Nothobranchius furzeri: one gene and its partner. The protein of the gene in region 2 interacts with the protein of the main gene of each other region in a biochemical or structural test. Links are inferred from orthologs where the notes say so. Each region holds a gene or a part of one and is shown on either strand. Other genes may lie near its edges.

Evidence for each region.
Region 1: the proteins of lztr1 (region 2) and kras form a complex in vitro, tested with the Homo sapiens proteins (2 studies listed by BioGRID, with this or other methods). The link is inferred for Nothobranchius furzeri from reciprocal best matches to the Homo sapiens genes LZTR1 and KRAS.

Annotation. Positions count from the first base shown.
Region 1 is NC_091744.1:73,814,827-73,819,113, reverse strand, and holds the start of kras (GTPase KRas), read right to left. Parts: upstream 2,888-4,287; 5' UTR 2,632-2,887; intron 382-2,631; 5' UTR 375-381; coding exon 264-374; intron 1-263. UniProt on the Homo sapiens protein: Ras proteins bind GDP/GTP and possess intrinsic GTPase activity. Plays an important role in the regulation of cell proliferation.
Region 2 is NC_091757.1:45,256,545-45,260,789, forward strand, and holds the start of lztr1 (leucine-zipper-like transcriptional regulator 1), read right to left. Parts: upstream 3,104-4,245; 5' UTR 2,880-3,103; coding exon 2,728-2,879; intron 2,643-2,727; coding exon 2,580-2,642; intron 2,497-2,579; coding exon 2,440-2,496; intron 2,362-2,439; coding exon 2,282-2,361; intron 2,191-2,281; coding exon 2,082-2,190; intron 1,905-2,081; coding exon 1,821-1,904; intron 1,742-1,820; coding exon 1,684-1,741; intron 1,581-1,683; coding exon 1,441-1,580; intron 1,357-1,440; coding exon 1,155-1,356; intron 963-1,154; coding exon 852-962; intron 773-851; coding exon 680-772; intron 569-679; coding exon 473-568; intron 155-472; coding exon 1-154. UniProt on the Homo sapiens protein: Substrate-specific adapter of a BCR (BTB-CUL3-RBX1) E3 ubiquitin-protein ligase complex that mediates ubiquitination of Ras (K-Ras/KRAS, N-Ras/NRAS and H-Ras/HRAS).

The DNA of each region.
Region 1 (4,287 bases), on a different chromosome or scaffold from region 2:
TTCATGGTAGAGCGCTAACCTGCCACAGCGTTTCAATAATTGATTGAAATCATGATGAGATTGTTCACACTGCATGTGGCTGGCACTGAGGAGCTTGGCCAGGAGCCAAGCATGAAAAGTCATTAAAAACCTGTTTGGTGTCTTTTTAAAACCCAAAACCAGTAAAGCCAGTTACAAGCTTTTAAAAAGAGTTTCTCATTATTTTTGCATCCCTGCTTCCTGACATGGAAGTGCAGTTAACAAGAACACACATTTATGTTTACCTCAATGGTGGGGTCGTATTCGTCCACAAAGTGGTTCTGGATGAGCTGGATAGTTAGCGCGCTCTTGCCCACACCACCAGCTCCCACTACAACCAGCTTATATTCTGTCATGTTTCACCTGCCGGACAAAATAAAGAATATTTGTCTCATTTGTACTCAAATGTTACAGCATTAACTCATTACAGTGTTCCTACATCTCTCCTCAAGTCAAATTTGGTCAACCATAGAGATTTCCCCGTACGTTCTTGTAGTGATTAAGTAATACAATTTATTTTAACTGTGCTAAACTTCCTCTTCGTATAAAATCAACGTTCATCTGAAGAACAGCAGTTACGCTCCGCTTTTATCACTGACAATGAGCGAAGAGGTAAATGTGTAAAACAACGTTTATGAATGGTGAAAGTTTTGTAACCGTTTGTTACAAATCAGTAAATGCATTTTGTCCTCACGGGCTCCCGTAGAAGGAAACATGGCATCGCCCAGAGCTTTAGACCCGCTCCCATGTATTTTAGACCCGATTTTTATTGTTATATGTTACAAAGCCGCCAATATTTTTCAACAACTCTGCATCATTTAATTAATTTTAAATAGCATTTTGATGGATATTTCCAGAGATTAATGGTAAAACTATACATGATCTCTTTCAATAATCATAAAAAGCTCTAAATTCTACATAAAAAGGGTTATTTTCAAGGGTTCCCCTCCAGCAGAATCTCTGATCCTGTTCCTGTCTGTTATTTTTGTCTGATAAACTGAAATCTGTGTGCTCCGGCCTGGCAGAAAAACATTGCTGATTCACTGGAAATTTTGATTTTACACAGTTGAGTTTTATGAAAGGTTATTTTAGTAATCAACTACAGCGCTTGAGGGGAGAACAAACCGTGAAATCACAACAAATGATCATTAATCAAACAGAGGTTAAGCTAAAATAAGGGAACACTTGTATTTTAATTAATCTGATTTCAGAAAACCATCAACTAAATGATAAAAAACCTATTTTTCTACACAAACTAAATTTGTATAATTACTGATCATTCTGGGGGGAAATACCAGACTCAAGATGAGAAATAATTGAGTAGAGAGCTAAAAAAAAAGGATTAGGAGAAAAACTTTGCCCATGTGATCAAGTCTCGGAATAAAAGAGCACAATGTGATCAAGTCTCAGAATAAAAGAGCACAATGACTGTCCCCTCTACAACTAAAACTAACCACAGGCATAAATCCATAATATTACATTAAAGCTTCAAAATTGACAAGCGGCTGTGAAGCTCTGGTGTGTGACTTCTTTGTGGATCGATGGCTGCAGCTGGCCTTTTCAGAAGTTACAGCGCAAACTGATGAAAGTCTGCAGAGCTCAGACAATGAAAACAACAAATAAGTTTTGTTTTGTTCTTTTAACCAGCAAGTTACAGATTTATATTAATGCAAATGAAGTGATGTTTTTAGATATCAATCAGAAAATAAACGTGTGGGAAAATGTTCATCTAAAGCATATTTTCACCTTTCAGAAAGTCTTGTGCAAATGCAACTGAACAGGGGTGCAAAAAGCTGAGCACAGCCTCGTCTAAAAAGCAGCAGGTAAGTCGTATAAGTCGTAAAGTTCACTTTCACCGCCTGAAACTGCAGGAAATTTTTTATGGTGCGGCTTTGAAAAACTGAAAGTTTATTCCAGGCGTCTGTGCCAGCATGGTGGAGTGGTTTCTTTTCTTAATACATCAACAACATTGGAGAACATGGCTCAATAGCTCAGCGCAGCCCCGATTGGAGGGCTAATGCGGGGATTGATTAGCAGCCATATAAACAAAAATGCTACTTGGAAAACAGTTTGCTACCTGTGAGGAATCAGAGGAAGTTCTTTAGTGACTTCAAGAAGGCAGGAGCCCCTAGGGTGCGCATAAAAGTGGAAAGGAGTTTGATTTAAATCTTCTATCCTTAATAGTTTAGAAGAAAACGTCCTCGGTACTTCAGGCGACTTTGCTGATGTTAGCTAGCTTAGCATCGGAGATCGCTCATTCACACTTAATTACTGTTAAAAAATAAAGTCTTGCGCACTTTCCCGTTGTGTTTTATAATTAAAAAAAGGCTAGCCGATATTATTGTTCTGTCAGCTCAGTGTGTCTGAGCCGAGTCTGTCATCCATTCAAACGGGAAGAGAAGCCGCTATCGACAAGCTAGCTAAAGCTCTGCAATGTAGGGCCAGACGGTAGGTTAACTGGGCGTAGTTTAGCCAAAAACGAACATGTTTGACTACAGGGAGGCTGCCCAGTGTTTCAATAACGCATAATAACTTAGTTTTATTAGACAGTGAAATTCCGCAAAGGCTACATGCTAAAGTCTGCCATTAATGCGTCTTATGCGCTTGTTTTACCTTTTAGCGAGTGAAGTTCCGCGTCTGAAGTAGCGACCAAAGAAGTCAAGCAGATAATCCTCTCGCTTCACACGATCTCTGCATTTCCTACTTCTCACCAAAAAGCCCGCATTCGAGTCGGTCTAGCGTGGTTTCGGGAGCAACCGGGAGCATGCAGAGGGGGAAGGAAAATAAATAAAGTGGGCGAATTAATCGATTGAACTTTCCATCTGATCTGATGAGATCCAGCTTCCCCTCGGCCTAGCCGCTGCTGCTCAGTGTGGCCTGCTGCGTTACGCGAATATGGGCGGATACCAGGGCTTACTTTACCCAGAAACCATAGCTGTGGATTTCAACCGGCCTGGGTCAAATCACTCAAGCGTGTGTCGCAATACGATCCCGAAAATACGCTCGTTTCTTTTATTATTACCCATATGTTGATAAGATCCTCGTCATATCAAACTATGCCCATTCTCCAACTCCCATATCTCAAGTAAACCGGTGTTTTCTTTTTGTTGCATCTAAACTAAAACCAAACGGAATGTTTGTGCTTGCATTTTTATTAAAATCGGACAACACTGATAGGTTTCAGGTCACGTAGAGTGGGTTTCGTGTCCTCCAGCGAGACCCGCTGCTACCGCTGCAGCGCGCCGCAGAGTCAACAAAGCCTACGGGGCGACTCCACTATATATAGGCTCTAAATATAACTGGAATGTGCTGGAGGATGGACGTCATTCCCAAGCAAGGAAATGATTTGGCAATCCCCCGTCAGTTTTCCTACGTGCTCACTGGCGCTGCTGCTGCGCTGCACACATGCATAAATAAACAGTACGCTTGTAAAAAAGCGCAGACTTCTGATCCAGAGGGCACAAACGGCATTAAAGCGCCGAAATTGGATTTCTGTGTCAATAAAATCTGTTTTAAGCATTTAAGAAGGATCTTTGCAAACAAAAGGACCCAGCTGCTTAAACTGAGCCGCTCACAAAGACTAACCAGTAAAATTATAAAATTATATATTTTTTATGTATCTGAGGCAACTAAAAATGTTATAAGTTAGAATCAGGTCTAAATTTAGACTTATTTGGATTGATCAAGCTTTAGAAACCATGGCAGACAATGGTAAATGCATTATTATTATTTTGAATAAATTATCTTCCATCCTAAAAAATTACAGCATGAACATCTGTTTTGTTTTGGGGATTACAAGAAGGTGCTGCAAAGATGGGCTAGACCTGCTGAATAAAATTACCAACAGCTGCCTCTCCTCATTGGAGGGCATTTCCTCCAGCAGATGCACAATCAGAGCAAAGACAATGGAGGATCTCATTAGCACAGAACTGTTCACCCTCTTTCTTCAGACAGAAGGTTGGTCTTCCTCAACAAGACTAAAGAAATGATAAACGACCCACATTGTGTAGCACCTTTCAGAGTCAGAGGACTCCAAAGTGCTTTACTTTGGAAAAGATGTTTAAGTGGGGTCAAATTATTGGTATGCATCATGCAGAGAAAACATCTAAGGAGAAATGACTTAAGATTGGGTTAAGGACTTCCCAACACATTATTAATTGGTCTGATGAGTTCAGATGGACTCTGTTCCATGTGATGGGTGCATCAGGGTAAGAAGAGAGGCAGATGATGTGATGCACACAACATGCCTAGTGCCTACTGTACAAACCT
Region 2 (4,245 bases):
ACTGCATCAAGACTTCAAAAGGCTGGGCCTCTGCTTCCCTGATGGATACCTCCAGCAGAGGCTGCATGCCCGATGGCCTATTGCCGGCTGGGATATCCCTCGGGCCTCCAGCTGCTCCCTCATCCCTTTCCTCACTGCTCTCCTGTTTGGTTCTCTGCAACGCGGCAAATTATGCAACACTCCTTTACCCAATCCATTCTCACGGAGCACCTGCTAACATTCTATGTGGATATTTGAAACGGTTGTGCCGATTTTATATCACAAGCCTTGATGCTCAAAACTAGCTTTATTTTGTTCCTGTAAAGAAAACTAGTTGTCCTTTTATGTTGCAATTATTTCATTTGCAGCTTCCACTTGGCTTCATTTCTACATAATGTAAAAAGTACCTTCTTGAGTCATATTAATACTTGTGGGGCTAAAACTGTGATTAAGTCCTGTAGTCTCAGGAAACATGAGGCGTGCTGACTCAGACCTGTCGCTGCCTATCCCGGGCCTGCAGGATTTTCCTCCGCAGCCACTGGCACCTCGCGGTCACTATGGCGATATGCCCCAAGACTCTCTCCTCCCTCTGTAAACAACACAACAGGAGATGAGAAAAAACATGTTTACCTTCCATGTGATTTTAATCAGCTACTTCAAAGCTTAACCTCCGTTTTTTCTTTTAACAATTAAGACCCACCTCGCCCAGAATGAACTCCACGTCACAGAACTGACGGTTCTCCCACAGTTTACCGTAATCCTCGTGGAGAGTGCACTTTGGGTAGCTTGAGAACTGCAATGTAAACATTTGAATGTGATCAGTTTTAGACCAAGTTGTCTAAAGAAAATTTACTTTCTTTGTAAACACTCACCTGGAATCTATACATCTCCCCACTGCGAACATTGTTATCCACAGTCCCTCCAAAGATGTACATGGCATCTTGGATCACAGCCGCAGCGTGGAAGAGCCTCCCGCTCGGCATCTGTAGGGTTCAAATTGGTTTTCAGGATGGAAACATCATGCAATGAGCATCAAATAGGACTACAAGCCCAAGTGAAATTATTGAAGGTTTTAGCGACAAAATCAAGAATCTCCTATACTCTAATCGATGAAGTATCTATAAACAGAACAATAATGATAAAGAAAATATAAGGAAAACCATTTTGGTTCATACTTCACTGTCAAAGCTGGGATGGATCACCTCCCAGGTCTGAGAGTCCACATCATAACAGTGCAGCTCATTGGGTAGCGTGTTATCAGCAGCACCTCCAAATACGTACAGGTGGCGGTCAAAGGCGACCATAGTGTGTCCGTAACGTCTCTGAGGAGGTGGAGGAGAGCCCCGCAGCAAGTGCTCCGTTGGGATCCGCGTCCACCTGAGAAGACGTTGGAGTCCTGTGTGACTTTATCCAACACACACACTACTTATGGTTTGACTCATCAGGAAAGGCAATGCTCACATGTGGCCTTTGAATTCAAACTGAAAGAGGTTATTAGTGATCTTGGCTCCACTCTGACCAGAAAACACAAACATCTTATCCCTGCACACCGCTACTGGGAAGTTGCAGCAGGATGGAGGAATTTCACCACTTTGAACAATCTGGCGGTGACAAAACCAAACAGAGAGATATAAAAACATGGATTCAGTCTTTCTGGATCTTTTGTTTTTGTCCATTTTAAATGTGTAGGTGAAGTTAACTAGCCTCTTCCCAGCATGCATGATCACGATCCTGCAGACTGATGGTCCACATGTCGTTTAGTCTACGTACACAGAACATAAACTTATTAGGAACGCAGAGATGAATGTGTAGATGTAAAAACAGAATGTTATCTCACACACCTGGCATTCCCGTCATAGCCAGCAAATATCCACAGCTTGTCGTTGTAGACTGTAGCTCCATGTGCAGATCTGGCCACCGGCAAGCTAAAACAGCCACAAGACTTGTACAAATCAGCTTCTATCCTCACAGTTAGCAAAAAAAAAATTGTTTGATTACATGGAGAGAAAATACACTTTAGACAATTTCACTCTCAAAATTAACATGAGCCCAGATACTGGTGCCAACTAATTTCATATACACAAAAAATAAATGAATATTACCTTCCTTCCACTTTCCATTCAGTCCATTGTCCTGTGGCAAACTTATACTCAAACAGGTCGTTCTTATTTTTTAGGTTTGAATTGGAATATATGTCTCCGGTGTAGCCCCCTGGAAAATAAAATACAGACACCATACTCGTTTATTTCAAAATAATCTAAGTTTTTGCAGTTTTTGCAGATCTAAAATCAGCCAACTTTACCAAAGACAAACATGCTGCTGCCATAGACCACAGCTGAGTGGTGATATCTGGGAGCAGGTGGAGTTCCAGTGGTGAAAGCTCTGTAAGGCACAGTTTTCCACTGGTGTTAAAGTCAGATTCTTGATTTAAAGCGTTTCTTTTGGTTGCTGCAGTCTTACCGACACCAAGAGCAGTCCTTCACATCGAAGCGGAGCAAATCATTCAGCATGTTCTTCCTGTAGGGTGCAACAGAGTTAGAACACATTTATGTATGCAAAAAATAAAAATAAAACACCCATCCCTGTCAACAAATTCTCACCCATTATCTCCTCCAAACACGTATATGGCGTCCCTGTATGCCACAACTGTGTGTTTGCTGCGCCTGTGTGAGGATGCAAAACACCCAGAATGAACAGGGGTCAACACGCAGTATGTCCTCTCATGTCTCTGATCTGACAGTTTGATACCTGGCACCAACAAACTCATCACACGGAGGAAGTCTTCTCCAACGATGGACAGTCTCAAACGGGCCAAAGTTGAGCGTCAAATATTCCACGCTGTCGGAGCAGCTGTGATCAAAATCAACACTCGGGGCGACTTTGGTTGATTTACAAGACATTTCGCTAACTCATCTGATCAAACTCAGGGCCACTCATCTGAAAGGACGCCCTCTGTTAGCGACATTTCTCTGTACAAATGAGCGTTTTATTTCTCTGCTAACGAGATTAAACGCGTGGAAAGAATAAATTGCGCTTTGTTAAAGGTAGAAACTGCGACCCAACTAACAATTAGCTACTAGCTATGCTCAGAGCTAGCCTCGGCTAGCTAGCTATCGTCACGCTATGCTACAAACAACTGAAAGGTTAGCTAGTAGCGGCTAAAGTTACACTAAAAGTTCCGTTTAACCGACTAAATACTTTTTCGATTCGAAATACTTATTTAATGATGTCTTAACGAAGGTACAACATCAGGACTACTGAAATAAAAGGACAGTTATCAGGATCAGATGTCAACCACGCCCCCGTAGCACCGGTGTTTTACCGAAAAATAGCAACCCCCGCAGAACTAGCTCGCCATACACATTGTAACAAGCCAAATAAAGTTGTGTCTTTCATTATATTAAAACACTGATTCTGAAGACTTAAAAAACTTTTACTGAACCCAGTAGTTAAAAAAGGCTAATGAAATGCGCTTCCGGTGATGGGGAACTTTACAAGGCAGGAGTGCCTTTTTCTGATACAACATCAGTGAAGATTCCACTTCCTGTATGTTAATTTCAGAAATGACAAAATAATAATAAAAAGAATAATTTCAGAAATGACTAAAATAGATGCCACATTTGTTGTATATATTTGTCAAGAAAAAATACAAAATTAGTAAATACATTTTAAAATTTCAAAAAATTTTGAAGATGACAATATTTTGCATCATAATAACCAATAGTTGAATTTTTCAAACTGATTGAATAATTTGTGGATTTTTCATTTATAAGTCCATATGAGGCTCATAAATCTAAAAGATCCATAAGATTTGTAATTAATCTGTATATTTTTGATTTGTGATCTTTTTCCAGTCAGATGTTCTTAATAAACATTAACACTCCTGGTATTATGCCTGCTACTGTTTATCCATATAATCATAATAGTACCCACCTGATGTCCTCAGCTGCATCCATAGCGAGTGTCATCTATTTTGCATACTTCATTTTACTTGTAAATAAGAGTTAATGTCTAACACAAAAACTGAAAAAATACTTTAATGGGTCAGAAGGGTACTTTTGTCACTATCCTTCCATGAACATTCTCGTACCTCAGTCAATGTCAACTCGTTCAGTCTGGCATTTTTCATCAAAGAACGAAAAATCACCAACATTCATGAACAATAAATCCAGACCCTGTTTGAGCCTCGGTTTACACGGTAATGGAGGGGTGGGGGATAGTGAGTTTTATAGAATTGTTTTAAACACATTCAAAAATACATTTCAG